7 linked regions of the Mus musculus genome follow. The protein of the gene in region 1 purifies or fractionates together with the protein of each later gene. This does not show direct contact. Links are inferred from orthologs where the notes say so. Each region holds a gene or a part of one and is shown on either strand. Other genes may lie near its edges. The genes, in order: Ddx23, Prpf8, Prpf6, Snrnp200, Eftud2, Sart1 and Snrnp40.

What was found.
Region 2: the proteins of Ddx23 (region 1) and Prpf8 purify together in Homo sapiens (affinity purification with mass spectrometry; 5 studies listed by BioGRID and IntAct, counting the BioPlex papers as one, with this or other methods). This does not show direct contact. The link is inferred for Mus musculus from reciprocal best matches to the Homo sapiens genes DDX23 and PRPF8.
Region 3: the proteins of Ddx23 (region 1) and Prpf6 purify together in Homo sapiens (affinity purification with mass spectrometry; 3 studies listed by BioGRID and IntAct, counting the BioPlex papers as one, with this or other methods). This does not show direct contact. The link is inferred for Mus musculus from reciprocal best matches to the Homo sapiens genes DDX23 and PRPF6.
Region 4: the proteins of Ddx23 (region 1) and Snrnp200 purify together in Homo sapiens (affinity purification with mass spectrometry; 3 studies listed by BioGRID and IntAct, counting the BioPlex papers as one, with this or other methods). This does not show direct contact. The link is inferred for Mus musculus from reciprocal best matches to the Homo sapiens genes DDX23 and SNRNP200.
Region 5: the proteins of Ddx23 (region 1) and Eftud2 purify together in Homo sapiens (affinity purification with mass spectrometry; 6 studies listed by BioGRID and IntAct, counting the BioPlex papers as one, with this or other methods). This does not show direct contact. The link is inferred for Mus musculus from reciprocal best matches to the Homo sapiens genes DDX23 and EFTUD2.
Region 6: the proteins of Ddx23 (region 1) and Sart1 purify together in Homo sapiens (affinity purification with mass spectrometry; 3 studies listed by BioGRID and IntAct, counting the BioPlex papers as one, with this or other methods). This does not show direct contact. The link is inferred for Mus musculus from reciprocal best matches to the Homo sapiens genes DDX23 and SART1.
Region 7: the proteins of Ddx23 (region 1) and Snrnp40 purify together in Homo sapiens (affinity purification with mass spectrometry; 3 studies listed by BioGRID and IntAct, counting the BioPlex papers as one, with this or other methods). This does not show direct contact. The link is inferred for Mus musculus from reciprocal best matches to the Homo sapiens genes DDX23 and SNRNP40.

What each region holds. Positions count from the first base shown.
Region 1 is NC_000081.6:98,649,197-98,653,102, forward strand, and holds part of Ddx23 (probable ATP-dependent RNA helicase DDX23), read right to left. Parts: intron 3,786-3,906; coding exon 3,692-3,785; intron 3,343-3,691; coding exon 3,277-3,342; intron 2,861-3,276; coding exon 2,722-2,860; intron 2,403-2,721; coding exon 2,269-2,402; intron 2,161-2,268; coding exon 2,048-2,160; intron 1,861-2,047; coding exon 1,717-1,860; intron 1,623-1,716; coding exon 1,397-1,622; intron 1,094-1,396; coding exon 948-1,093; intron 697-947; coding exon 519-696; intron 1-518. UniProt on the Homo sapiens protein: Involved in pre-mRNA splicing and its phosphorylated form (by SRPK2) is required for spliceosomal B complex formation.
Region 2 is NC_000077.6:75,485,374-75,489,908, reverse strand, and holds the start of Prpf8 (pre-mRNA-processing-splicing factor 8), read right to left. Parts: upstream 3,133-4,535; 5' UTR 2,818-3,132; coding exon 2,718-2,817; intron 2,285-2,717; coding exon 2,116-2,284; intron 168-2,115; coding exon 3-167; intron 1-2. UniProt on the Homo sapiens protein: Plays a role in pre-mRNA splicing as core component of precatalytic, catalytic and postcatalytic spliceosomal complexes, both of the predominant U2-type spliceosome and the minor U12-type spliceosome.
Region 3 is NC_000068.7:181,649,610-181,653,515, reverse strand, and holds part of Prpf6 (pre-mRNA-processing factor 6), read right to left. Parts: intron 3,420-3,906; coding exon 3,286-3,419; intron 2,431-3,285; coding exon 2,339-2,430; intron 1,083-2,338; coding exon 968-1,082; intron 1-967. UniProt on the Homo sapiens protein: Involved in pre-mRNA splicing as component of the U4/U6-U5 tri-snRNP complex, one of the building blocks of the spliceosome.
Region 4 is NC_000068.7:127,206,719-127,211,421, forward strand, and holds the start of Snrnp200 (U5 small nuclear ribonucleoprotein 200 kDa helicase), read left to right. Parts: upstream 1-1,667; 5' UTR 1,668-1,775; coding exon 1,776-1,820; intron 1,821-2,255; coding exon 2,256-2,419; intron 2,420-3,975; coding exon 3,976-4,147; intron 4,148-4,703. UniProt on the Homo sapiens protein: Catalyzes the ATP-dependent unwinding of U4/U6 RNA duplices, an essential step in the assembly of a catalytically active spliceosome. Plays a role in pre-mRNA splicing as a core component of precatalytic, catalytic and postcatalytic spliceosomal complexes.
Region 5 is NC_000077.6:102,840,133-102,843,040, reverse strand, and holds part of Eftud2 (116 kDa U5 small nuclear ribonucleoprotein component), read left to right. Parts: intron 1-1,272; coding exon 1,273-1,359; intron 1,360-1,513; coding exon 1,514-1,640; intron 1,641-1,783; coding exon 1,784-1,871; intron 1,872-2,658; coding exon 2,659-2,777; intron 2,778-2,908. UniProt on the Homo sapiens protein: Required for pre-mRNA splicing as component of the spliceosome, including pre-catalytic, catalytic and post-catalytic spliceosomal complexes. Component of the U5 snRNP and the U4/U6-U5 tri-snRNP complex, a building block of the spliceosome.
Region 6 is NC_000085.6:5,378,322-5,382,227, forward strand, and holds part of Sart1 (U4/U6.U5 tri-snRNP-associated protein 1), read right to left. Parts: coding exon 3,865-3,906; intron 3,751-3,864; coding exon 3,640-3,750; intron 3,433-3,639; coding exon 3,345-3,432; intron 2,980-3,344; coding exon 2,889-2,979; intron 2,796-2,888; coding exon 2,660-2,795; intron 2,207-2,659; coding exon 2,117-2,206; intron 2,021-2,116; coding exon 1,899-2,020; intron 1,815-1,898; coding exon 1,796-1,814; 3' UTR 1-1,795. UniProt on the Homo sapiens protein: Plays a role in mRNA splicing as a component of the U4/U6-U5 tri-snRNP, one of the building blocks of the spliceosome. May also bind to DNA.
Region 7 is NC_000070.6:130,358,603-130,363,088, reverse strand, and holds the start of Snrnp40 (U5 small nuclear ribonucleoprotein 40 kDa protein), read right to left. Parts: upstream 2,958-4,486; 5' UTR 2,884-2,957; coding exon 2,740-2,883; intron 462-2,739; coding exon 332-461; intron 1-331. UniProt on the Homo sapiens protein: Required for pre-mRNA splicing as component of the activated spliceosome. Component of the U5 small nuclear ribonucleoprotein (snRNP) complex and the U4/U6-U5 tri-snRNP complex, building blocks of the spliceosome.

The sequences.
Region 1 (3,906 bases):
AGGGAGCACTGTGGGAGGAGAGAGGCTAGGGAGCACTGTGGGAGGAGAGAGGCTAGGGAGCACTGTGGGAGGAGAGAGGCTAGGGAACAATGTGGGAGGAGAGAGGCTAGGGAGCACTGTGGGAGGAGAGAGGCTAGGGAGCACTGTGGGAGGAGAGAGGCTAGGGAGCACTGTGGAAGGAGAGAGGCAGAGAGCTCTGTGGAAGGAGCAACACTGAGAGGTCTACATGAGAATTCCTCTCATCTCCTTACAGGATCTCTCCATCTTCTCTAAGGAACGCCTGCCAACACCATGCTTTAGTAAGAACACAGGCTCTGGCTATGAACTCTTCCCCCTTTACAGGGCCCACTGACAGCCGTGTTGGACTGCAGCCGAGTTATCACCCTCACCATCTATAAAACAGTGTACAATCTCTACCACTACCTGCTCTCACATGGCTGTTGTGATGCCCATTAATTACTAGCATTATTGTTAGTATATATTAGTGTAATTAATTAGAGCTCATTTGAGAAACTAACCTCACAGCCCATGCGTAGCCGGAAGCCTTGGTCTTCTCTGGAGATGCCACCGATGACAGCCACAGTGCGGATACCGAGTGGCTTTCCGAACTTGATGGTTTCTTCCTCAATCTGCTGAGCCAACTCACGGGTAGGAGCCAGGATGATGGCATAAGGGCCCTGGTCTGACTCTTCGATCCTGTGGTAAATGGGGTATCCCACATCTCCATAAGCTTTGGTCTCATTGACCACAAGCAGGAACAAGACAAAGTTACTCTTAGAGCAACTATGGGAATGGGCAGGTTGGTGATCCCATGTAAAAATCAGACTACAAGATAACCCAGGGCATATAAGGTTCTCTCAACAGACGACAAACAAAACAGCTACTGATTCTAGTTTGCCTTATGTCGTACCCAGCAATGCACCCAACTGATGGCGAGCTGAGCCTACCTGTCAATCTTGGGAAGTGTGGTGATCCAGACTAGCAATGGGATGAGGAAGGCTGCTGTCTTGCCACTGCCAGTCTCAGCTACACCAATGATGTCACGATTCTGCAGCCCAATGGGAATGGCCTGACGCTGGATAGGTGTTGGCTCCTACAGTGGCCCAGAATAAAAGTAATGGGTAGAGAATCACACCATCTGGGATAGAGCTAACCCAGCGGGCAAAGCATGCTCCCACCATATACCCGAGACACATAGGAAAGGGGGCCCAAGGAAAAACACAAGCCCTAAAGGCCCACATTTCCACCACAAAGTGACAGGCATAGTTAAGTTTGGTGCTGTGGGCAGAGAAGACGAAGGATGGTGAAGGAACAGAGCTCTCCAGTCCCAACTACATTTGCAGTCCTAGAACGTAGGAGGAGCCAGCGGAAGCTCTGGGTCAGTCTGCCCCTTTACCTTGTAGCCACACTTATCAATGACTTCCAGGATATGAGGGGGCAGAGACGAATCTTTCCAGGACCGGATGGGATTGGGGATCTTGCCACCTTTGGTGGTGATGCTGTAATCTTCACGGAAGATCCGCCAGTCCCTGTCCGTCATCTCATCCAACTTCTTCTGGGACCAATGGCGGTCATCCCAGCGTTGCTTGGCCTCCTTTTTGCGAAGTTTGCGGAGTCTTGCTCTGAAGAAGACATGATTGGAGGTTAAGCGAAATCAGTTTACTCCTTGTCGTGGCCTCCGCGCTCTGCCCAACCACCCTAAGCCCAACGACTCACTCCTCCTGCTCCTTTTCCTCCAGGGTTCGCCTCTTCTCCATCAGGTCTCCATAGAAACGTGACTGCTCTCGCTTCTGCTGCTTTAGGTCAATGCCTGCAATGAAGCCTCGCCCCAACAGCTGCACCTGGTGTCGTTCTTTATACCTGCGATGCAGACAGAGAACTGAGCAGTTCACGGCAAGGGCAACCTGCTGATGGGCACCGATTCTCCCCCAGCTCAGAAAGACTGGTCAATCCCTGCCTCATCCCAGACCCGCTTGCTTTTTCTGTCACTAGCTCTTCAGGACCACCCAGTGTCCGAGCCCCAGGATGTGGGCACGGAGCCACTCACAGGGGGTTGTAATCAATGGAGGTGTCTTCAGACGCATCCCACTCAAACACAAACTTTCGGTCATTGAGATGCCTTGTTCGGCGCCGTTTTTTGATGCCACCCAGGTAACGCTCCTATCAAGGAAAGCACAGAGCTCGTCAGCTGAGGTCCTGACCTGAGACAGAGAGAGAAACGACCAACCCTGGCCTCTGGGGGGGGGTGGGGGGGGTCTCGGCCGGTACCTTAATGGCGTGCAGCTCCTTGCTCTTGTCCTTTTCTTCCCGGATCTTCTGCCGCCCCTCCTCATCCTCATTTCCGTTGGTCTCCCGCTCCATCCTTTCCCTCCGTTCTCTCCGTTCCCTTTCCTGAGGATCTTCTGCAGACAAAGAAGAACAGCTGTGGAAGAGCTCCGTGGGAGGGAGAGGCTCGGAAAGCATGCAGGCAATCAGGACATGGGAGGAAAGCGAATGGACGTGGGGTGGGAAGGGGACCTAACACATTTCCATGACCTTTCACCATTCCAAAGTCTGGAACAAAAAGTCTCCATCTTCCGCCCTCCCATTCTTTTTGCAATGGTTGGCGATCAGACCCAGGGCCTTTTGAATGGCAGGCAAGTTCTACCAGGAGCTATAGCCTAATTTCTATCCCTCTCCATAACTTCACCCCACCCTTTCTACTCAGGACAGAAAACAAACCCAGCATCTTCCTGCCCAGGTCCTGGAACTGTTTCCTTTTCTTCCGCTCCTCTTCGAGCATCTTCTGGCGCTCCTCCACCTCCTGCTGCCGCCGCTTCAGAGCTTCAGCCTCCCGCTCTGCTTTAGAGAGGAATTTGGGCTTCAAGACAGAAGGGAATGGTTAACAGCATCTAGCCACATCACTGCCACAGAGACCCAGGAAGGCCCTAAATATTCACTTAACATAGTAAATATTCTGATAAAACTACATAGAGGCCTAGGACTCTGGCATGGACTGCAGGTACAGCCAGTCAGGTGGCATGGTGGGAACACAGCAGCCTCCTGGCATGGTAGTTCCATGAGAAAATAACGTATCAATACCGAGGAGACGAGCCCACAGAGGTGACTGTAAGGACAGAAAAGGCATCGGCATCGGCATCTGTGAACGGGCCTCAGTGGAAACCACTGGTACTGCAGCCGAGACTTCTCAGTCCTAGAGCTCCAACGCTGAAGCTGCCCAGTTGTGGCATTTGTTAGAACAGCCAGAGCACATGAATCCAGATGCCACAGCCTTACCTTAGCTTCAGCTTCCTCCTCAGCCTTTTTCTTGGCCAGAAGTTCCTCCAGGGACAGTGGCTGGATCTGAGCATGAGACATGGGAACTGGGTTTAGAAAGATTCTCCCTCATGGAACTAGAGACATGGCTCCGAGGTTAAGAGCACTGGCTGCTCTTCCAGTACCCATATGGAAGCTTACGACTGTCTACAACTCCAGTTCCAGGGGATCTGACTGCTTCACACAGACATACATGCAAACAAAACATAATGCACATAACAAGTATAAAGGAATCATTAAAAAAAGATTCTCTTCCTTAGCTGGGCACTGGTAGTAGCGGCAGTGGCGCACACCTTAACCCCAGCACTGGGAGGCAGAGGCAGGCGGATCTCTGAGTTCCAGGTCAGCCCTTGAAGGAGGCGCCAGCCCACCTTACCTTAGGTCGCTTGTCTCCATGTTCATCCTCGTCACCCTTCTTAGAATCTCTGTCCTTCCGAGACTTGAAATCCTTTCCTCGGCCAGGAGACAAGCTTTAAGGAAAAAGAGGAAAGGTTCAGAGCTAAGAGAACAGAAGTTTTCTTAGTACTCAAGACTGGCCATGGTCAGCCATCACGACCTAAAGCTTTCTTAAGCAAGGCCCAGTCCCCTGCC
Region 2 (4,535 bases), on another chromosome or scaffold:
ACCCCCACTGGGAGATGTAAACCGGCTCGATAACCCAGGGAATCTCGTTAACAAAGGAGATGGCTCCAGTGATGTGGTACAGCACAGGCACGTCCCGGATCTGCTCCCAAGGCATGGGCATGTTCTCAAGGAGCTTGAGGACTGCATGAGGCATGTACTTAAGAGCTCTGCAACGAGGAGGAGAGACCATGAGAAAGAACTAAGGGTTCTGTTATCTGTCCCCTGCTGACAAGCCAGTTATCACGTGTTCCACACAAAATGCTGCCTTATACTCCAAAGTCCCAAATTAGGACTAAGGTCCTACACGATCACAAGTCCTGCCTCCTCATCTCCACCTTCATCTAATACCACTCTCCCTTTCAAATGTCTTGGTGCGGGACCCAGTCTGTAGAAACTAACACCCGTCCCTTTGAAAGCAACTTCCTTCTACCCTTCCTGTAAATTCCAATACCTTCCCTGTTCTATGTGGTAACCATTTGTCTCTCATCCATCATACCACTAAACTTATACTCCTAAAAAAAAAAAAAAAAAAAAAAAAAAAGGACCAATACGGTCTATTCACTGAAGACCAAAAGCAAGTTTCAATAATAACAGTAATAATGTTTATTGTTGTTTGTTTGAGACAGGGTCCCACCGTATAGCCCTGGCTGGCCTGAAACTCACTGTATAGAACAGAAGTCTCACCTATCTCTGTCTCCCATGCACAGAGACTAAATGCCTGTGCCACCACACGTGGCTTTGCTGTTTTTGATGGAGCATCTCACCAGGTAGTTCAAACTGGCCTCAAGCCCATGATTCTCCTGCCTCTGCAGCTAAGGGCAGAGATTACATGCAAACACTACCACGGCTGCTTAAGTTATTTTTGTTGTTGATGTTTTATTTTTTAGGACAGAGTTTCTCTGTCCAGCCTTATCAGTTATAGAACTCACTCTGTAAACCAGGCCATCCTCAAACTCAAAGTAATCAGACTCCCAAGTGCTGGGGTTACAGGCGTATGCTATTACCTTGCCCGGCAAGAAGTTGTTGTTATTGTTATTTCTTTTTTTTTTTTTTTTGCCGTCGTACTTTTATTCACATCATGTATTGTTATTTCTATTAATGGTTTTTTCAAGACAGAGTTTCTCTATATAGCTCTGGCTGTCTTGGAACTCACTCGGTAGACCAGGCTGGCCTTGAACTCTGAAATCAGCCTGCTTCTGCCTCTCGAGTGCTGGGATTCAAGGCGTGCACCACCACTGCCTGGCTAAGAAATTATTTTTTGGCTAAGAAATTATTTTTTGCAATAAAACTCTCAAGGTGGGGCTAGAAAGATGGCTCAGCAGTTAAGAGCACTGATTGCTCTTCCAAAGGTCCTGAGTTCAATTCCCAGCACCCACATGGTGGCTTACAACCATTTGTGATGGGATCTGATGCCCTCTTCTGGTGTGTCTGAAGACATCTACAGTACACTCATATAAATGAATTAAATAAATCTTTAAAAAGGAAAAAAAACAAAAACAAAACAAAACAAAAAAACTTCCAAGGCTTCCCCCACATCAATTAATTAACAGGCCAAATTTTTGTATCCAAATGGAATGTTAAGAATCTCTGCAGCTTGAGGTGGAAGAATTAACAGTAAAAGAGCGACCCCAGGAATGAACTATCCTAAACCTCTGAATGATAGTGACCAAAGAGGCATCCAGAATGCCTAGTGTCTTAATTTGAGCTTCAAACAGTTCCACAATACCAGACATTTTACAACAACACCAGCAGGGCAAAGCAAAACAATCAATGGCATAGGTAGACGATCTGGAAACTATCACAGAATCCCAGTGGTCCTAGCCTTACTCCTACAGTCATCCTATGTACAGCCTAGAGCCATGTTCCATGCTGGACACGGTGACATCTGCCTTCAATCCCAGCTCTTTGGAGGCAGAGGCATGGGGATCCCTATCGGTTAAAGGGCAGCCCGGTCTACAGAGCTAAATCCAGGGCAAAAATGCCCACACAGGGAAACTGTCTCAGTTAAAAAGTCACATTCCAAATGCTAGTCCCTCTATCCAGCACTGTCAATGAAGGGGCAGAGGAAGGAAAGAAGTCAAACTCCATATGATATTATCCTGGGATGTTACTCACCCCAAATAGACCCTTTTGTCATGACGGAACTTCCTGTTGGTCATGTCTCCATGGTCTCGAATGATCTTCCTGACATGTTCTGGTGGCATGTCTTCCTTCTGAGCATCCACAAACCCAAATTTCCGCTTCTCTGCATATCGCTTGGCCTGCAACTGCTGCCATTTTCGAGCTAGAAAAGCACCTCAGCTTAAAGGGCTGCACACATTTACCCTAATTATCCCTAACTCTTGCCCTGGGGCAACCCTCGGCATGCTGTGAAGAGAAATACTCACTGCCAAGTATCCTGCCATTTTACTACCCCAAACCACCTGATATTTTTGCTATAGATGTTTTGGGGAGGGTTGTTGTCTAATTCCTACATAGTAATGCAAACCCTATAAGGAAACAGGTTTTATCGTCATTGATGCATTTTACACACACACACGTACACAATAAGCTCCTGCAAAATAACAGGCACTTCCAAACTTTCAATGATTGGACTCAATTTTTAAAAATGTAAATACTGCTAATAAGCACACCCCTGATGACCTGCCTATGGAGGGAAGAAATGAAACCCGCCTACACGTTCGAGCCCGCGCACGCCGTTCCCGTTCGCCTCTCACCTTTCTCCTGCAGCTTCTCCTCTGACATATAATCCGGCAGCGGGGCTAGAGGGCCGGGCACCGGGTTACCCGGCCCTCGGTAAGGAAACACTCCGGCCATGCCGGGAGAATCTGGGATAGAGAGGCAGGCCAAAACTAATGAGCTAGGCCCGGGCCCACAAGGGGCAGATGGAACACGTCCGGAGCCCCCTGGCCTGCACTCTAGCCGGGCTGAGCGCTCGGGACCCGGGCCTGGCGCAGCTCCTCGGGCCGCTCGGCCCACTCGATTACCTTGCGCTCAGCCTCAGACGCCCACCACCCACCTGTCGCCCCTCACTCAGGTAGCGGCTAGGCTCGCAGAGCAATGGCGGAAAGACGACGTCCGCTCCGCGTTCCCAACTCCAGGAAGTGCGCAACCAGGCTCAGAAGCTCATCCAATAGACGCCGAGATGCTCTGATGGATTAGCGACATCTCCAATTGACGTTGCAGCCCGAGCCGGAGAGGCGGGTCTAAAAGCGGATTTCAGGGCGAGGGGTGTGGTCAGGGTAGGCTCACGCCCCGCCTTCTGCCAGTCAGTTTAGGAGCCCTCTCTAATAGATCTGACATTTAATTGGCTATTGATATTGTTCCTCAAAAGCCAAAGCCATACAATTTTAATAAGTTTGCGTACGTTGCACATTTCCCCTATATTTATTCTCATGAATTCAGAGCTGATATGTAGTACTAACTCCTACTCAATGAATCCTTTGTTCTTCTATTCCTTCATTACATTACTGTTAATAGTGGTAACTATGTACCAAAGAGTCAAATAACTCTTGGACCATCCAAGGCAGAAGGAAGGCTGGCAAAAATGTATGATGATCTGGGATGGGAATGTACTTCAGTTTGTACAGGAGGCCCTTGGTTCATTCCATTTCTGGCAATGCATAGACCTGTAGGATCTCAGCACTGGTGGGGGGTGGGGGGTGGGGGTGGAGGGGCGGGAGGTTAAAGGCAGAATAGTCATAAATTCAAAGTCTGGTCCTGGAAAGAGGACTAAACGATTAAGAGCTTTAGCTGTTCTTCTAGAGAACCTGGTGTGATCCCCAGCACATGGTGCCTCACGACTGTCCGAAACTCTGATTCTAGGGGGATCTGAAAACCCTCTTCTGCCCTCTGTAGATACAGAACACACATGGTGCACATACATACATGCAACCCAAACAACCCATATACATAAAATATTTTTTTTTCAAAAAGACATTCAAATTCTTCCTCGGCTATATAGTGTTTACCAAACCTCAAAAACAAAACAAAACAAAACAAAACAAAGAATCATTAATGTTTTGCCTTCATGTATGTCTGCCCACCACGGACATGCCTGGTACCCAGGGAGATTAAAAGAAGACATTAGCTCCCCTGGAATGGAGATAGGTATGATCTACCACTTGGGTGCTGGGAACCTGGGTCCCCTGCAAAAGCAGTAAATCTTTTTAACCCCTAAGCTGTCTCTCCCAACGCCTAAAGATTCTTGTAACACAGCATGATGAGCACTGGCAAGCATAGCATGGTAATCTGACTTCAGGGCGCCAGATTTTGAGCTTAATGCTTGATTATTAGAAGTAACGTACTAGATTTAATGCCTGGAGCTTCAAGCAACAAAATTAACTGAAGAATAAAAATAAAAACCCTGCCAGCCATGATGGTAATCCCAGAACTTGAGAGGCAGAGGCAGGTGATCTCTGTGTTTTCAAGGCCAGCCAAATCTACATAGCAAGTTCCAGTACAGCACAGCCAAGGATCTAGAGAGAGACTGTATCAAAACAAATAATCGTGCTTCTTTGGGAGATGGAAAGGAG
Region 3 (3,906 bases), on another chromosome or scaffold:
TTGTAAGGTTTATGGCTGCTCTGGCTGAGGGCATACAGAAGTTACTCTGGGAAAGGGAAGCCTAAGCTAGCAAGGCTGGGACCTAAAACCTTGGCCATCTGCTAGGGCTACAGACACTACAGAGGTGCCAGGTAGCAATGTGAAGGTAGTTGCACCAGAATCTGAACACTCAATGCCACTTAAAACCAAATTGGTCTAAGGCTCTGTCTCCACCAGTGGCACAGTCCTGTGCTGGAAGGTGATAAATCACTTGATGACATTGCAGTTCATATGAACCATGGATAATCATTTCTGTACTCCAGGACAATGGATTACAGCAGGTTATTCCCAGGGTCACTGAGCTGAAAGGGTCTGAGTTCTGCTAACACAATGAAAGTGCAAGCCTCTTGGCTCTCTGGGCAGTGATGGTGATAACTTTAGTCCCACCAGTTCAGAGGCAGAGGCAGGCAGATCTCTGAGTTTGAGACTAGCCTGATCTACAGAGTGAGTTCCAGGACATTCAGGATACACAGAGAAACCCTGTATCAACAAACAAACAAACAAAAAACAAACAAACAAACATCCAGCCAACCAAACAAACAAAAAACCTCTCAGATAAAGCCCCTTCAGTCAAATGGGCTTGGCTTAATACTTAAATTCTGTGTGGACCAATATCAACAAATCTGTCTTGCATGTAATCCAGGCCCCATGTGGTACTGAAACAAAGGCAACAGTCCCATCAGAAGCCTGGGACTGAGGATGAGCCAAAGAACCCAGGAGACCTGAGAAGAGGGAGTGACCAGACAGATGTCTAGACTGCACCTCAAGGCCTCTAGCAACAGAGTGCTGCCCAGAACGCTGGAGCAGGAGTTTTGGCAGCAGAGGCCCATGTAGCTCATCCTGTGCAAACAAAGTCAGAATAGCCAGGCAAAGAGGCTGGCAAAACTATACCAGAACCCCATGCTATCCCAAAAGAACAATTACTCACTTAGCCACAGCTAAAAGCACATGGGGGTCATGTTCACACTTCTTCAGGGCATCCACACTCTTGGTCTTTCTCTGGGGCCTTGCCTCAAGGAAGACAGCTTCAGACCACAGGATACCTGAAATTCACAAGCAAATATCTACCCCTCAGCCTCACTTCTGGCTTGAGAAATGCACCCTCTTCTTTAGGATTGCCCAAAAAGGGTATACTCAGGGCAACCACAAGGGTCTCAAACATCTAACCAGTAACCTGAATTATACCAGCCTTGCCAGAACAGAATCAGGTAGCTTTAATTCTTACCGAGTCAGCAAACAGGCAATGGGCAATGATAATCTGAAAGCACTATCACATACTGCTGTTAAAAATAAAGAAAGCAGCCAGGTGGGATGGTGCACACCCTTGATCCCAGCACTTTGAAGGCAGAGGCAGGAAGATCTCTATGAGTTTGAGGCCAGCCTGGTCTATAAAGTAAGTTCCAGGACAACACTCAGGACTGTTACACAGAGAAAGCCTGTCTCGAGAGAGAGGGGAGAGGGGAGAAGGGAGAGGGGAGAGGGGAGAGGGGAGAGGTGTACCTGCTAGTTCCCACAGAGGCTAGATGAGGGTGTGGGTAAGTCTAGCAAAAAACTCAAAACAAAAACCAAAACAAAAAACTACCACTACTAGCACAAGAAAACTTAGCAAAGCAGATGGTATATGACACTACTGTCCGACTACATTTCTTATATACCATATATAAGAAAAATAATAAAAGTTAAAACTTGTCTTAAGGGATTGGAGAGATGACTCTGAAGTTAAGCACACTGACTGCTCTTCCAGAGATCCCAAGTTCAATTCCCAGCAACCACATGGTGGCTCACAACCATCTGTAATGGGATCTAATGTCATTTTCTGGCACACAGGTGTACATGCAGATAGAGTATACTCGTATACATCTTTTTTTTAATAATTTTTTAAAGATTTATTTATTATTATATGTAAGTATACTGTAGCAGTCTTCAGACACACCAGAAGAGGGCATCAGATCCCATTACAGATGGTTGTGAGCCACCATATGGTTGCTGGGATTTGAACTCAGGGCCTTCGGAAATATAGTCAGTGCTCTTAACCGCTGAGCCATCTCTCCAGCCCCCATTTACATAAATCTTTAAAAAAAAAAAACTTAGAAAAATGATAGTGCCTCAGAACATGAAATCAAACTGTCCCATACTAAAACTGAGGATTTAGTCTGAAGTCTTTGTAACCACATCAACGAAGCTAGACTAAAATGGGACACACAGGATGTGTCTTCCAGGAGTCCCTGAAAGTCAACTGATCCCATCCCACAAAAGATTTCCTCTGTGCCATACGACACACATGGCCAGGAGTCCTTACCAGAGTTAGGGCACTCCTGCAGCGCCTTGGCCATGAGGGTATTGGCAATGTTCTTCAGCCCTGCCCGGTACTCCAGCCGCACTGACTCCAACCTAGGAAAACAGGCCCAGGGATGGGACATCCCCATCTATCATAGCACAACCAACTACTTCAACTGGCCTTCTGCCAGAGAGACCCTTTTAAAAGGCTTTTGCATTTTTACTTTATTATTATTGTCATGCTACCACACATAGGTGGAAGTCAGAGGACCACTTTTGGAAACACTGGGTTCCACTAAACTAAATGCAGATTGTCAAATTTGCTCAGTAAGTGATTCTTCCCCACTGCCTGTAAAGGAAGGCTCTTGTCTCCTAGAAGGGGGTTAGAATTTCATTCTCTACATGGATGGTAGTACTGGTGTCCAGTCTATAAGAAGGCAGCATTCCCATCTAAGATCCCAGACTCCACAGGATCCAGATACAAGTGAAGACAAGGGAACAAACACAGACCATACATGATCACTACATGGCAGGCACCTAAGAATGACAACCCCCGTCCCCCAGCAGTGTCCTCTCTCATCTCTGTCTAACCCCTAGCTGGACTCTGCATCCATTACCCACACCTCGTCATGTGGCCCAACCTGGCATAACTCACTAGCCTTCTCCATTGATCTTCCAGGTACTAGGGAATATTAGTACCACCATACTCAGCTCCCTCTAGCAAGTTTCTTCATGTTACTCAAGGCCTTCTTGTTACCTCTTTTATAGTCCACTTTCTCAGTTCCGTTCCCTGACATCTCAGAACACGTCATCAAAAGTGCACTTACCATCTAGACCCAGCTCTCCCAAGCAGGACTATGACCCTCATAAAAGCTGTCACCTATTATTGAGTCCACAGGAGACTGGGTAAAATGAAGAAGGAACTGAGGAGCCTCAAAGGGGGAAGTGAGGTGATTACCGAGAACTCACCATAGCCCAGGGTTCTTTGGGTTTTTCAGACGAGATTTCTCTAAAATGGCCCGAGCACGTGTCAGCTGCCCAATCTTTTCCTCTAGTCGGGAAAGCAAGAGCCAAAGCGGTGTGGAATGAGGACATTTCTTCAGCTGTGACCAAAAAATTGTACAAAATAATAGTTCAGAGAGCATCTACAAAAGACTGAGAACTGTGGTCAGCTCATAGGAGCACTTTAGGGCTGTTAAGACACGTGCTTCATACTCGACATGGCTCTACAGTGTGCACATGCAAACAGGTATGCATCGGGTTACTGTGTGCAATTGTGTTGTATACAGGTACAGTAAAGGATGCCTGTAGGACTCTGAATATGTGTCATGCACATGTGTACACAGGGTGTGCACTTTGTACACAATGTGCTCATTGTACGACTTTTGATGTACTGAACAAACCCTATATATCCCAAACACAGGGTGTGCAACTTTGTAGGAAAAAAACACAGTACCCACAGTGACAGGAAGAACAAAGGCTCAATTCCAAGCACAAAGTTCTATCCCCGACCACTGGCCCTCCACTTCTTTCCCAGCGTGGGAATGACTGCTGCCATGTCATGCTGCCGGGTTCCCTGGGATACCTTGA
Region 4 (4,703 bases), on another chromosome or scaffold:
TCCCAGCACTTGGGAGGCAGAGGCAGGCAGATTTCTGAGTTCGAGGCCAGCCTGGTCTACAAAGTGAGTTCCAGGACAGCCAAGGCTACACAGAGAAACCCTGTCTCGAAAAACCAAAAAAAAAAAAAAAAAAATTGACAAGGGCTTATTTTATATCTTCCAAGTGGAACTCCATTTGGGAAGGTAACTATATTTGAAATGCAAATTCTTAGACCCCCTAAACGATAAAACTTCTTCCTACTAATAAAGAAGAAAAAAAGTAAATGAGTCCAACCTAGGGTTACTATGCTGCTCTTACTGTTAAATATGATAAGGTACAGCTTGTCACAACCATCCATAGCTGCAGCCACGGTGTTTATGAGTTGGAGGCAGGGGGATCAAGAGTGCAAGAGAAGTCTCTGGATAGCAAGTTTGAAGCCTGCCTGGACTCCAGGAGATCTTTTCTCAAAAACCAGATAAGGGCTAGAGAGATGGCTTAATGGTTATGAACACTGGCTGCTCTTTGAGAAGACCTGGGTTCCAACCCCTCCACACACATGGCAACTCACAACCTATCTGCAGCTCCAGTCTCAGGGGATCTGACACCCTCTTTTGGACTTCGTGGAAGTCTGCATGTAATGATACACAAACATACATGTAGCCCAAACACCTATCTACATAGAATAAAATGTAAATGATAAACCAAACAATAAAAAAAAATTGCCAGCAAAATGGCTGGGTGGATTAGGACACAGACTTAAGGTTCACTCGTGCTTATTAAATATCAAGGGAAAGCAGAACTCACTGTTTTGCTTTCAGTGTTGTGTAGAGAATTATGAAAAGACTAAATACCACCTTTACATAAAAGGTACCACTACTGCTGAATAAAACTGAATAGTAATTCCATACATATTATTTATTTTTCATATATTTCTTTAGTAAAACATTCGTGTCACATTGAGGAGGACAAAGTTATACATATGCTGTAATCCGCACACCTAAAGTCCTGACAGGCTGTGACAAAAGATTGGGCACAAATAGTTCTTCCTCTACCGTCAGTCAGCTGACACAGGGGAGAGTCTTGCGGAAAGGGGTTTGGGGTAGAAATCCAGTCGGTTACTAGAACTAGGTACATGCTAACTTGCTTTTTTTTTTTTTTTTTTTTTTTTTGTCTTTTTGTTGTTGTTTTGGTTTTTTGTTTGTTTTGTTTTGTTTTTCGAGACAAGGTTTCTCTGTGTAGCTCTGGCTGTCCTGGAACTCACTTTGTAGACCAGGCTGGCCTCGAACTCAGAAATCCACTACCTCTGCCTCCCGAGTGCTGGGATTAAAGGAATGCGCCACCATGCCTGTCTTGCTAACTTGCTTGAACCTTCAGCTTCCTTATCCCTTAGTTTCCGTTTGCCTGCATGTCTGCCTGCCTCACAGGATGGCTGGTATGAGAAACCAAAAGAATTACAGAAAGGGACTTTCAACATACGCTTAGGGGTTGGGCCTTGGCTCTGTCGCAGGTAGAGATGCCTGGAACCACAATTTGCACGCGCGTGTGTCTCGTCGGTCAATGGAATCCTTGACCCGGATGTACTACTGTACATCTCCGCAAACCCCGCCCAGAAGCAGTGGTTAGTAACCGGAAAGTCTCACGTTTAGCGGGCGTCCCGGAAGCGGAAGCAAGTCCGTTTCTTTTCTCCGTCCCTTACGTTCGTCCTGCGTTGTACCTGTTGTGCCAGGGCGGTTCGCTGAAGCGGTTCGGAGCGTGAAGAAGAGTGGAACCCTGAGTTCCCGGAGCATCAGCAGCCATGGCGGATGTGACTGCCCGCAGTTTGCAGTACGAGTACAAGGCGGTGCGTGTGGTCTCGAAGGACCGGTGCAGACAGGGGAGGTCGTGGACAGCCACGGACACTTGAGCGGGAGATCAGAGCTGGGTGAAGGATGGATTAAAACACGAAGGAAAAACCCCGTGGAATTTGGGGCGCTTGAGAATTTAGGAGTTGGGTTTTCCCCAGCCCCCTCAGCGCTAAACTCGCACCTTCTTCTCTTTACCCGCAATGTGCCCAACATTTTACCCAAATGTGGGCTGTTGTGGATGCTCTTAGGAGCGCTGGTCGTTCACCTTCTCAGACAGCAATAGTGCTCGCGCATCGTGTAATGCTATGTTATTTCTTCTTAAGAGCATGATTTTTTTTTTATTCCACTGTTTTCCCATCATCTGCTGTCACTGTAATAACAGGATTCAAAACTATACATATCAAAGTTTTGATAAAGTATGATCTTTTCAGAACTCAAATCTTGTGCTCCAAGCTGACCGCTCTCTCATTGACCGGACCCGCCGGGATGAACCGACGGGAGAGGTTCTGTCCCTGGTTGGGAAGTTGGAGGGAACCCGAATGGGAGATAAGGCTCAACGGACCAAACCACAGATGCAGGAAGAAAGACGGGCCAAGTAAGTACTAAGGGGATGCTGGATGCTATTTTTCCATCTAATGTAAAGCCCATCTTTAGCATTAGAGCAGTAGTTTTACTCAAGTTTATATGGAAGATGAGTGGTGTGTGCACAACAACCAAGGTTTAGAGCTTCTTTGGATTTAGGTGTAATGAAGTGGAACAAAATCTATTGATACCTTTTACTGACTCGTTTCTGATTCATAGATGTTAATTTTCTTCCGGTTATCTTTTTAAAAGATCTGTTTTATTTTTAATTACGTGCATGTGTATGTTCGTGTGGGTTTGTGCACACGTATGCAGATGCCTGTGTGGAGGCCAGAGAGGGTTTGAGAGTCCCTGGAGCTAGAGTTACAGGAGGTTTTGAGTTACCCAGTGTGGGGCTAAGAACTGAACTTGGGTCCTCTTGGAAAGCAGTACTGGGGTGAACAACTCGACTCTTCTCTCCAGCCCCATCCCCGACTGTTTTCAGGACTTGAGTTAATCTCCTCTCTGTAATTCACCTCCACCATGTTGTTACAAGCTTCTCTCCCCAACCCTTCTCTCCTTTTGTTGCCCAGCACTTCCTGATGATTTCTGTTGTCTTTTCATGTTGGTGGGTTCATTTCAAAAGTTAAATACTACTTACTTTATTTTGCCTGCCTTGCTTTTCTTTTCTCTTCTTCTCTTTTCTTTTCTCTTCTTTTCTTTCTTCAGAACAGAGTATCTTGCTCTGTAGACCAGGCTGGCCTTAAACTCAGAGATCCACCAGCCTCTGTTTCCTGAGCACTGGGATTGGAATTAAAAGTCCTGTGCCACCACCTCCCGGAAAATTGTGTTTTCTTTCCCCTCCGTCCCTCTCTCTCTCCCCTTTTAAAAAATATTTATTTTATGTATATGAGTACACTATAGCTCATCTTCAGACTGTAGCTGCCTTCAGACATGAAGAAGGCACCTCAGAAGAGGTCATCGAATCCCATTACAGATGGTTGTGAGCTACCACGTGTTTGCTAAGAGTTGAGCTCAGGACCTCTGGAAGAACAGTTAGTGCTCTTAACCGCTGGGCCATCTCTCCAGCCCTCTCCTCTCTCTTACTATGGAGTCTTAACAATCCCCAGGCCCTGTTTGATTTGAGTGCTTATGTTTTAGAAGAGCTTAATTATTGTTCCTTGGTCCTTCAGTTTTCAGAGTCTGACGTCTTTTCTAGTTGTTTATTGGGAGTCATTAAGAGTAAATTCCACTGGAGCCTAGTTTCTCTCACTCCTAAAAAGTGATGGATGCATCTAAGGTTAAAAAAAAAGTCTAAATCATATTATAAAATCTCATATGGATATAAAAAGATGTACATTTTAAGATAATGGAGACTGTATCTCATTGTAACAGCATATCAGAAGATGGCACATTTTCTTTCTATAAATCTGTCCCATAAAGAAGTGCTTCTTCAAATCACTAAGGTCTGGTAGGAGTTAATCATTTTGATTCATGTTCCTGCCTTCACATATTAGACGTATAGAAAGGGTAAGCTTGGCTTAGGAATGGCCAGTTCTTCCATTCAGCATCATGTTGTATGTCCTTTAGGAGGAGAAAACGTGATGAGGACCGGCATGACATGAACAAGATGAAAGGCTACACGCTGCTGTCTGAGGGCATTGATGAGATGGTGGGCATCATCTACAAGCCTAAGACGAAGGAGACCCGAGAGACCTACGAGGTGCTGCTCAGCTTCATCCAGGCTGCGCTGGGAGATCAGGTGAGCCAGTCTTACCTCTGGATTTTCCCAGTAGGATGGGGAGGGCAGTACCATTCGAGCAGAGAAGTAGTGAACATGTTCCAGGTCAGAGGCAGGCTGCTGAGTGCCTCTTTCACCTAGAGACATGTGGCAAGCTGTTGTGCAAGTTGTCTTCTGCTTCTGAAGACCACCTATGCCCCCACGCCCAAGCGCTCGGGCTGTCTCCAGGAGCTCACTAGTTTTAAGCACATGAGGCAACACTGTGTTAAGTCCTCAACAGCTCCCTCTAGGCTTGAAGGTTGCTTTTGTTTGTTGGTGTGAGATGAGGTCTCCTGCAGCTCAAGCTGACATCATACTCACTATGTATTTAAGCATGACCTTGAACTTTGGTTTTGTTGCTGCTTCCCATGTGCTAGGATTGCAGACTTGTGCCACTGTGTCCTGTTAACGAGTGTTCAAAGCCCAGGATGCTGCATATTTTCTTGTTTGCTTTGTATGTATATACACCATATAGCCCCAGTACCCTTAGCAAAAGAGGTTTCAGATCTCCTGGAATTTGAGTTGTGATTTTTCTTTT
Region 5 (2,908 bases), on another chromosome or scaffold:
GTAATCAATCCCATTACCTGGGACATAGAGGCAGGAGGATCAGGAGTTCTAGGCCAGCCTCAGTCACATAGCAAGTTTGAGTGCCTATTAGATTCTTTACTTAAAAAAAAGTCAGACATGGTGGTACACACACCCTCAATCCCAGCACTTAAGATGCATCCAGGTAGATTTCTATGTTATGAGTTCCAGGGTCAGGGCTACATAGTGAACGCCTGTCTTAAAAAACAACAACAAAAACAGAAACAAAAATCAGGCATGGTGGCTCAAGACTGTAGTCCCAGCACTTGGGAGGCAAGACAGGAGGAATGCTGCAAGTTCAGGGCCAGCTCCATCTGCATAGCAAGCTCTAAGCCATCTGGGGCTACTCATATCACCCTGTCTTGGGGAAAAAGAAAGAAAATGATAGAGGCTGGCAACATGTACCTGGGCACCTGGGACTGACAGCCTCCTCCTCTCCCACACTCACTCCAAGCCTGCCCCAGCCTCAGCTCTACAGCAGGAGAAATTGCTTGAGATTGTCTGGGGGCTGTGTGGTGTGTGTGTGGTGTATGTGTGTGTATTGTGTATGTATGTGCGTGTGTGTATGTGTGTGTTTGTGGTGTGTGTGTGTGTATTGTGTATGTATGTGCGTGTGTGTATGTGTGTGTTTGTGGTGTGTGTGTAGGTGTGCGTGTGTGTGTGTGTGTGTTTGTGGTGTGTGTGTGTGTGTGTGTGTGTGTGAGTGAGTTGATTTTTGATGTCTCTCATAGACCAAGATGATCTGAAGCTCACTACATGGAAGTGTCAGATCTTTCTGCCTGCTAAGCACTGAGATTCAAAGCATAAGCCTCTATGCCAGCTTCAACATCAGTTCCTTTTTTTTAAATGGCTCCTCACACATGTTTACACGTGCTGTGCTGGCAGGCTCCACTCTCCAGCCCCAGCCGCACTTTCCAAGAAAAAGCAGATAAATGGAGAGATGGCTCAATGATTAAAGGCACTCGTTGCTCTTGTAGAGGGACCAACATTTTTCCAGCCACATGGTGGCTTACACTTCCAGTCCTTAGTAGCCAATACTCTTGTCTGGCTTCTTTGGGCACTCCACACATGTGGTACACTTACATACATGCAAGTGAAATAACTCATACGTATTTTAAAACAAAACAGAAATGAAAGAAGACACCCTTTGCTGAACTTGCTCCAAGATTCCATTTCTCTTGCTGTCTCAGCAGTCTGTGCTGTTGGCCCTACTCATCCTGTAACCTTCTCACTGCCCCTGTCCTTTCTGACCAGGAACAAGATCACCATGATTGCCGAGCCCCTTGAGAAGGGCCTTGCTGAGGACATAGAGAATGAAGTGGTCCAGATCACCTGGAACAGGTTGGAACAGTGTTCACACTATGGCGTCTTTGCCTGGTCTCCTGACACCATCCCTCTTTCGCTGTTGTCCTGACTATGGTGTGGGTAGAGTGGGCCGCTGTCTTACAGAAAGGCAGGATCTGTGGCCCCAGGAGTCTCCTCCTCTTTCCTCCAGAAAGAAGCTGGGAGAGTTTTTCCAAACAAAGTACGACTGGGATCTGCTGGCTGCCCGTTCCATCTGGGCCTTCGGACCTGATGCTACAGGCCCCAACATCCTAGTAGATGATACACTGCCCTCAGAGGTAAACCAATAGGATGCCTGTGGCAAAGTGTTATCCCTAGATGAAGAACCTGCAGTGCCCTCTTCCCTATTGAAAGATGGCTTCTCACAGCCGTACTTTCTCCTCCTAACACTGCCTGCTAAGACGACCTAATGTTTCTGCAGGTAGACAAGGCCCTTCTCGGCTCAGTGAAGGACAGCATTGTTCAAGGTTTCCAGTGGGGGACCAGGGAAGGACCCCTCTGCGATGAATGTGAGTCCACCTTCAACCCGCAGCTCCATTCCCCAGGACCCTGTACCTAGCCATGGGAGGCGGTGGCACAGGGAAGGGCTTCACGGCTTTCAGACACAGCAGGAAAAGATTACACTGGGCCAGCCTCCTCCCCGCTCACCCCCTGTCCCACCCCCAGCTCCTTCCCCATCTCCAAAATGAAGGCATCTCTAGATTGACCTGGATCCTAATTGCTGGGTAGAGCCCGTCTTTGGGCATGTTGAAGACAGATAACATGAGATAACATGAGGTGATCAGGTTGGAGTGGTTTATTGATGCAGTATAATCTCTGTGGGACCAAATACAATTTCTTTTTTTCTTTCTTTTTTTTTTTTTTTTTTTTTTTTTTTGTTGTTGTTGTTGTTGTTGTTTTGAGACAGGGCTTCTCTGTGTAGCCCTGGCTGCTCTGGAACTCATTCTGTAAACCAGGCTGGCCTCGAACTCAGAAATCTGCCTGCCTCTGCCTCCTGAGTGCTGGGACTAAAGGCGTGCACCACCATGCCCGGCCTCCAAATACAATTTCTAGAGCACAGTCTATGTCCAGAAAAAAGTTACTCAGAACCAGCCCATACGCTTGTAAGAATGTTCACACGTCACAGTGTGGCCGGACTCAAATGCTAAGTAATGTTTAAACTGCTGACCTATATGCTATTGGGCTTGCTGATCTGGATGTGAGCTGTCTGTATCATATCTTTGTGTGGCTGCAATATGGCCTCAGTGTAGCAAATTACCCTGCTGCTCCACCGTGCGCTTTCCATCTCCTTTTCAGTGATTCGGAATGTCAAGTTTAAGATACTGGATGCTGTGGTTGCCCAGGAACCCCTCCACCGGGGTGGAGGTCAGATCATTCCCACAGCCAGGAGGGTAGTGTACTCTGCCTTCCTCATGGTAAGTGGAGTTATAGGGGCTGTCCTGGTTCCCTGAGCAGAAAATTACATGGAGGACAAGGCAGAGGCCACAGAAGGATCCAGAGGTCTGGAGAACCTCGCCCTTCAGCCATCGCCAAGCTTAGCCCTTTC
Region 6 (3,906 bases), on another chromosome or scaffold:
TGGGCCAAACCTGGAGAGTCTCAAGCTGGAAGATGACCTCTGGGGACCTCAGCAAGACACAGGCATGGCCTGAAGGGATGAGGACCCCAGAGCAAGGGCTAAGGCACAGCTGGCGTCAGACTTCTGGGGTTCTCATGACCACACTCCGAGAGCTAAGATATGCCTATGGTGTCCATGTGGATGGAGAACAGCCCTCCCTTCCCTCTCCATGTTAGGAGAGGGCTAGAGGTAACAAGAGGCGATTCTCAGCAAAGCCCGAGTGGGAGTCAGAGATCACACGCCTCTGCAGCTCAGAACCCAAGTCAGTGACTTGCCTGTGGTAATCATTCAGCAGTGAGTGAAACTCAGTAACCAAATATGCGACATTAGACCAATGTCCCAAATACAAACCTAAGTCGCTAACCTTCTCCACCCGCTGACAGCGAACCTGGGTTCCTGTCTGCCCTTGGCATCAAGTCTCCTGCTACTTGGTAGCCCCTAGGCCCTGCTCTCCCTAAGGTGTGGCAGCAACAGCACCAACCCAATTTCCTGAAAATAAGTGTGAGCTTTTAGTTAGGTGGTGGTGGCACACACCTCTAATACCAGCACCCAAGAGGCAGAAGCAGGTGGATCCTTGAGTTCAAGGCCAGACTGTTCTACAGAGTTCCATGACAGCCAGGGCTACACAGAGAAACCCTGTCTCAAAAAAGGAAACAAAAAAAGTGACCTCTGACCAATGGCCATAGCCAGTAGACACCATAATCAAGCACCTGAGACTTAGAGAAATGGACACTCCTGCACAACCATCACTAGCCAAGATCCACAGGCACAGCCGAGAACACCAACTGACCTCACCTCTTTTATGGTCAGTGTCTCAGGAACTGCTACCTAGTATCACTTATAAACAACTGGGTTTCCTGTCTCTTGCTTTTTTCTAGTTATTTGATACACTCACCAGAGACCCACATGGGGCTAGCTTCAGTAACTGACACAGGGCACTCATCTTCTGATTCAAAGTAGCCACCTGTGGGGCAGGGTCCTCCCACAGCCTGTGGCTCAGCAGGGCTTCTTCCACAGCGCCTTCCTAGAAAGCCCATCTTTCCAGGCACAGTTGCAGGCACCTAGCAGGGTGGCTCAGTCCTCGTATATAAGTGCACTCGAGGTAACCCCTACCCCAGTCCTGGGATGACCCTCATGCCTCCACAAATGCCACAGTAACACAGGGGACAGGAGGTAACATCTCTACCCTTCCAGAGAGCCTAGGCAATCCTTACTTAGTACCCTGAAAACTGTAACCAGGACAACACAGGGTGGTTAGTGGCTCTCTAAGGCCTAGCAACACGCATGTGACCAGTCTGAAAACAGCAATGATTTGGGATCAAGAAGCCAATTTGACCGCAGTGTGACAGGTACACGCCACTGGGTGGAGGGCTTCTGTTACAATGGAGTCAGCTCACAGAGGAATGTCCTCTGAGGGACCAGGCTGGTTTCTCACCTCCTCTGTTCATTAAATGGCCAGTCTTACAGGCAGAGATCAGACTTTAAATCACACAGGTTCAAGGATCAGGCCCATCCGCTCCTGGATAACCAGAGAGTGAACGAAAGAGCTCACCGGCGCCTCACGCATGAAGCAGGTGTTCTGACCACTCGGAAGGCAACACAGAAGGGCGAGGAGGCTCAGCGACTTGCCAGATGGCAGAACTGACCGTGACAGAGGCCTTGCCTAGGTCTAACCTTAGACAGCAGCACAACCAAGAGGAAAAATAAGGAGGGAACTTTATTTAACACTACATCTGGGCCAGGGAGGAGGGCGGCTTCATTTGGTGATGGTGTTCCTGCAGGGAGAAGAGGGTGGGCGATGAGGCTGTGAGACTGGAAAGGGGATGCAGTGCCTCCCCACCCCTCCGGCTCCTACTCACGCATTCATGCTCTTGCCACTGCCACTGAGCACGATATACGGTGTCTTCTGGGCCTTCTGCTTCTCCTGGAGCAGTGCCACGGTGCCCAGGGGCGTGTCACTGGAGCTCATTTTCTTCAGGAGCTGTGGGGCCACAGGAGGTCAGAACAGGGGGAGCAGGCCCAGCATATCACACATCACCCAAAAATGCAGAGCCCCCACCTCCCTCCCAAGACCCACCGCCTCCTCATCCAGCTTCTTCATCCGCCGCTCAGTCTTCATCTTGCCTGAGCCCTTTCCGTGGAAGCGGTGGGACAGCTGCCGGAATGCCTGGGATACAGAGCAGGAGCAGAGGCATCAGAAAGGCCAGGCAGCCGGGATGTGGGCGCACGCCTTTAATCCCAGCACTCGGGAGGCAGAGGCGGGTGGATTTCTGAGTTCGAGGCCAGCCTGGTCTACAGAGTGAGTTCCAGGACAGCCAGGGCTATACAGAGAAACCCTGTCTCGAAAAACCAAAAAAGAATCCAGGGTCCAGGGTGAGCCTGCCTCTGGGAGCTGGAGTTAATGCCAGCAAACATGGAACCAGCATACAGAGATGGGAAGCAGCAGGGGATGCTGGTAGGCATACTCAGGGCACAGGGCTTCAGCTGTGGCAGTCAGCACAGGTGTAACCTTCCTGACAGCCAGCCTGTGGGAACTTCAGTACTACGCCCAAAGTCAGCAACGGAGGCAGAATTCACCTCGTCACCTGTGGTCTGACCATCTCCACAAGACCCTGCTCACCTCCTTGGGAGTCAGTTTCCTGCCCGTCTCATCCACGTATTCAATCTTAACATCAGGCTTGTAGCCATCTTTCTCCTTGAAGTCCTGGGTGAAGCCCCTGTACTCCTCCCGTCGGCTGTACTTGTCATCAATGGCCCTAGACCAAGGCAGAGGGGCTCAGGGTGAGCTGCCTGCTGCCTACCCCATGTTCACAGCTGCTCCTATTTCATGTCGCCACGGCCACACTTACATCTTATCCTCGATGCAGTACACTGCTGAGGGCAGTGACTTATTGGGAGCCTTCACCCGGGCCACCTTTTGTACTGTGGTCTCCAGCAGTCCTAGGGACAGAGAAGTTTTGACACCCAGCTTCATACAGGTCCCTCAGAGCCCTGCTCAGGAGTTAAACATGCCGCATCTTTACGGACATCAAAGATCAGCACTTCCCTAAGGAGGCAGCACAGCTGGGATCTGGCCCCAGTGTATCCGGTTTAGCCCACTTCTGAGGCACGGAAGAGAAGCAGACCTCTCACCCCGCAGCAGGAGAGGCAGTGAGAGGCTCCGCGTCTAGGGAGCTGCTTGAAGCCCCGAGACTGAGGGGAAGAGGAGTGGAAACCCAGGACACCATACAGTACTCACAGGCAACCATCCAGCCCGTCCCGGCTATAGTACCCACACTGCCAAGGCTCCCACCCTGAGCCCACACCTTTGTTCTGACACAGGAGCAGGGCAGCAGCCAGCCCTCTGTTCACGATGGGCTCCTCATCCAGGATGGTGGTAGAGGAAGCAGAGAACTAGAGGTGAGAAAAGAGAAGTGTGAGCAGGCTGCCCCATCTCTTCTATCCAGCGGTCATCCTCACCAGGCACTAGGCTGTGGGACCAGTTTTAACTGACCCCCAGCTGGCTCTGGAAGGGTTAGTGCCCCTTCTATGGATGGGTGGAGGCTTTCAGGCACTGGACAACTAGCCTGGGTCCCCACACCCACGCCCACCGGTGCTCACATCCTGATGCTGCTTCTCCTCATCCAGGTTGACGGTGCTCCAGCCAATGTTCTCTTCCCCATCTGATTCAGAGCCACCGTTGGCCGAGCGCTCCTCATCCCTTTCAAAGTCCTAGGACCACAAGTCAGTGTCAGGGTGGGCAGCCTCAACCCTACCTGCTACATTCAAGCACTAGAAGCAGAAGTCAGCAGCCTAAGGACAACAGCCAGGGAACTGCTGACGTACCATGAGCTCTTCCTGCTCCTCGCGGTTGCCAGCCAACCCGTA
Region 7 (4,486 bases), on another chromosome or scaffold:
TCATTCTGACTACATAGCCAGTTTAAGGTCAGCCTGGGCTACATGAGCATGACAGAAGGAGAGTAGAGGAGGGGAGGGAGGGGAAGAGAGGAGGAAGGGGGAGGGAAGAAGAGAAAGAGAGCAAAGAAGAATATATAACTCCAACCGAAGCAACCTACTTTCCAATTAGTACATTTCCTTCCTTTTATTTTACACATGCCCTGCTTTAGCATGACTATAGTTTAACTTGGCAATTTAGACTGATGTCTGAGGATTTCTATGGCACTCAAAATTAAAGAGATCATTATTAGCAGAGAGCTGTATGTAACTCCAGTTCAAAATTGTGCCTTACGTATTAGCCGGTCAAATCCTGCAGAAGCCAGGGTGGATCCATTGGGGTGAAACTTGCAGCAGTACACTTCCCCCTCATGTCCCGAGAGCAGCATGATTGGAGCTTGAAGGGAAGAACACCTGGGCGGTCCCTAAACCAAAGACAAGTGTGAGGCAGCCATTGTCCACAGGCAAAGGAAAGCTGGGGCAGCGCATCTCATCTGGGTCAGGGATAGCACAGATCTCACCTGGGTCAGCGATAGTACCCCTGCTCACAGAACTCTCTGACAATCCCTTGGACAGTCCAGCATATGCCCAATGCGCTTTTTTCTCCCTAAGGCTGTCTCTGTTCCACAGACGACTTCTGACTGCTTGATCATGTTGAATCCACTTATGCTTCAGAATCTTAACATAGAAAGATGTCTTTCACAAGAGACCTTCCTTATTTTGTATCTTTTAAATATTTCCTCCTCAGAGTCTGTCTTTCATCACTCAAACTAACCTACTTTGAGTGAGGTACCTCCCCACACCAGTATTCCACTAGCTCCAGGGCAGGCGGTCAAAGCCCCATCACTACCTGAATTTCCCTTTCTTGCCTTTCTTTTTCCCCAAAGAGATGAAGCTCTGGGAGTACAGGTACATTCTTCATTTTAGTCACCATTTTCCTGTCTCAAGTTCACCCAGCTAGCCTTTGAAAAACCTTGTATGGTACAGCTTATTACGCAAAATAGATTTTGGGGGAATGAGCAGGGTCTTAATATGTAGCCCAGGAAGGTCTTAAAATTTTCAGTCCTCCTAAGAACAAGTGTGTATCACTGTGCCAGGCTTAGCAAAGTAGATTTGATTATGATCTTGGAGAATAAACCTAGGCAATCTTACTCATTAAATAAGAACAAGTGTACTACCAATAATCCTGAAATCTCTTTAGCAGATTCCGGCAGACTTACTTATTTTTATTATCATGTACTATCTATAAGCAATGGGTTTCATTTTGATATATCCATAAATGCAAATAATGTACCAAGATCATACTCATCCAACATTTTTATTCAAAAAGTGTCACATGTTGGCTAAAGAGATGGCTCAGTGGTTAAGAGCACTTACTGCTCTTCTAAAGGACCCAAGTCCAGTTCCCAGCATCCACAATGGGCAGCTTTCAAGGGCTGTAACTTTAGGGTCAGAGGATCCAACATTCTTTTCTGGCCACTGAGTTCCCCCTCCCCACATATGAAACACACACACACACACTCACACTCACACACACACACACACTCACACACACACGCCTAAAACAGCACTCAGTAAAACAGTAGACCTTGCATTCTAGTGGAAAGTGAGAGAAAGGCACACAGAGCCACCCAGTGCTGAGTGCCATGGGAAGAAACAGTATGGGTTCCAGATTACAGGACACTCCAACTTGAAACACAGTGGTCAGGAAAGCCCCTCTGAAAACCTGGTGTCTGAGCAAAGATTTGAAAGAGCAAACAGCTGACCATGTGGGCATTTAAAAGAACATTCCAGCAAAAGCACCAAGGAAAGAAAGAACATTATAAGTCGGTGTCTTGAGCCAAGTGACATGCCAGAAAACTGGTAGATGAACAAGGTAAGGAGGGGATTATTACAGAGAATTTGATTTTTAAAAAAACGCACAATAGAAAGCCAACATAATGTTTTCAGCAGAGTATACCATGTGACTTAATATTTCCATGATTCCCCTGGCTACTGGATTAATAACCAATCCTTGGTTCAAAGACAAAAACCAGGAATACTAAATTAAGCTCTACCTGCAGTGATGTCAGATGACATAAAAACAGTTTTAACAAGAAGGTAAAAAAAAAGATCATAGTTACACAGATCTCTTCTCTTCTCTCTTTCAACAGGACTTTGCCATAATAAATAGCCTACACTGGCTTGGAGCCATGGATCTTCTGGATACAAAAAAGTTTGCCTTCCCCATTTGCAAAGTAACAGCTTCTTTCAGTCAGGTACCATGGTTAATGGAAATTTCACACGCAAAACATCCAAGATAACATCCAACGAGTGTTAATTACAATTATAAATGCAGAGAAAGAAAAAAGTTCTACCAGGTAGTAAAGCGAGCTATCATTCATTTCCATTGCCTCCCCTCTCATTCATTCGTCCACTCTGCAAACTTTCCTGAATGTTTCTTTTATGCTAAACCCCTGAAGATTTAGGATGCGGAAGCTTGGGTCTTGATTTTGAGGCCAAGGTTTTAAATGATTCAATGCCACTGAAGGGCTGAAAACAGGCGTCTACTAGGGAAACACGTATGAACCACACAGAGAACACCAGGCACCTTCACAGAAGCCTATTTTAACTTCAGGCTCACTGTCTTTCCGTTCCCTCAGAGGCGACATCATCCGTAGGAAGAGGGGCGGAGGGCCAAAGGCGGGATGACTCCCCACTTACCGCCTGCAGCAATGCCCCTGGAGTCGCCTGCTGCGGCCCCGCTCCGGGGCCGGCTCCTGCCGCTCCCAACAGCAACTCATGTCGCGGCCGCTTGACGGGAACCAGGGGTAGCTCCGGGCCCTTACGCTTCTGCTGCTCGATCATGGCGGCAGCCACTCTCCTCGGCGCCGCCACTAACCGCGCCGCCGACCGGAGGCGCCGCGCAATTGGTTCCAACTGAGTTCTTCCTCCAGAACTTCCGGAGAGGAGCAACCAATTGGCTTCTAACATTTCCTTCTGGAAAGCCCTCTGAATACACTCTTGTGATTGGTCCCATTCTGATGACGTCACGAGAAGGCGACTCTGGGATTGGGTCGCGGAGCTGGCGTTCTCCCCCGCCCCCTCGGGCGCGCAGTGCATCGTGGGTGAGAACGAGCGGAGCAGGTTTGGCGTTCCTAGCTATGAAGCGGCTGTCCTGCTAGGCGCGGACGCGGAGTGAGTGTGTGGGGAATCAGGCGGGTGGCTGTTCCAATCTGGAAGGTGCGAGGTGGTGATAGGCCTGAGCCTGCCCTTTTCAGCTATCAGCCTTAGCAGCATGGGGTGGCAGGAGGTGTCGCCGGAAAGAGAAGTCCCTTGGTAGGCTGGAGCGGAGCTTTGGCATCTCTGGCTCCAGGACTCGAACCCTCAGACGGCTATCCCTTGACAGCTGCTCTGCAGGATGCCAATTCTGCGTCTAGCTCTGTGCTGGCCCGAGTCCTGGCCTCCAGGCTTCAGTGCCGGACTTGGCTGAGGCGGCGGACTTAGTTGTCACTGATTTAGCCGTCTTTTTAAAAGGGCTTTAATTTATGTCCCCGAGACAGCCAGTGATGAGGAAAGTATCAGATGGTTCTTCCGAAGCACAGTTTAGTTGAGAAATCGAACAATCATGCTTGCGTGCCAGGTCTTCTCGAAAGTGGTCCAAATGATATTTATTGTGCAGTGCGTTTGGGGGTCATTCTGAAGAAATATGGTCCTCTACCCCAGAGTGTGGGAAACGTGTTAAACAAATTTGATGTTAAACAAAAACCATTTGATCGGAAGACTACCTAAACAAGCGATGCCTCTTGCTGTGAGTTACTAATATAAACTTGAAGGCTTTTTAAAGGAAAAGACATCTGAGCGGTTCCTATCTGATGGGACGGTTCTAATTAGGGGAAGAGAGGAAGGGAGAACGTTCTGCACAGAACAGCAGGTTCTATCAGTCGGAAAGATGAGGGAGACACAAAGAGCCGGTGTGGGGGGAGAGAGAGAGCGAGAGCGAGAGCGCTAGCTTAAAGTGAATATGGTATGGGATGAACCTGGAAGTCATGAAGATTTGCAGGAAGTTGAAGCTTTTACTTTAAAATTAATAGGAAGCCAGCGATAGTTTTCTCTCTCCTCCAGAATGTGGTGCAAAAGAGGACTTGATCCCTCAGGCTTAATGGTGTGATGAGATTGGAGAAAGATAAGAGGTTTACTGGGAGTAAATAGACCATTTCGGGAGCATGAACAGTAGTTCTGATCAGCAATGCCAGTGAGAACCAAGCTGGAGCTGTGACTGAAGACAGGTTTAACAGTATCTTGAGATAGCAGGGGAGTAAATTGGACAGAATAGATTGGATGATGCTCTTAGTCCCAACACTGGAGGCTGAGACAGGAGGTCTCAAAACCAAAAGCAACAAAACCAAAGCTAGCCTGGGCAACATTGGGATTTTCAACCCATACCAGGCTGCTAGCGTGACACATTGTT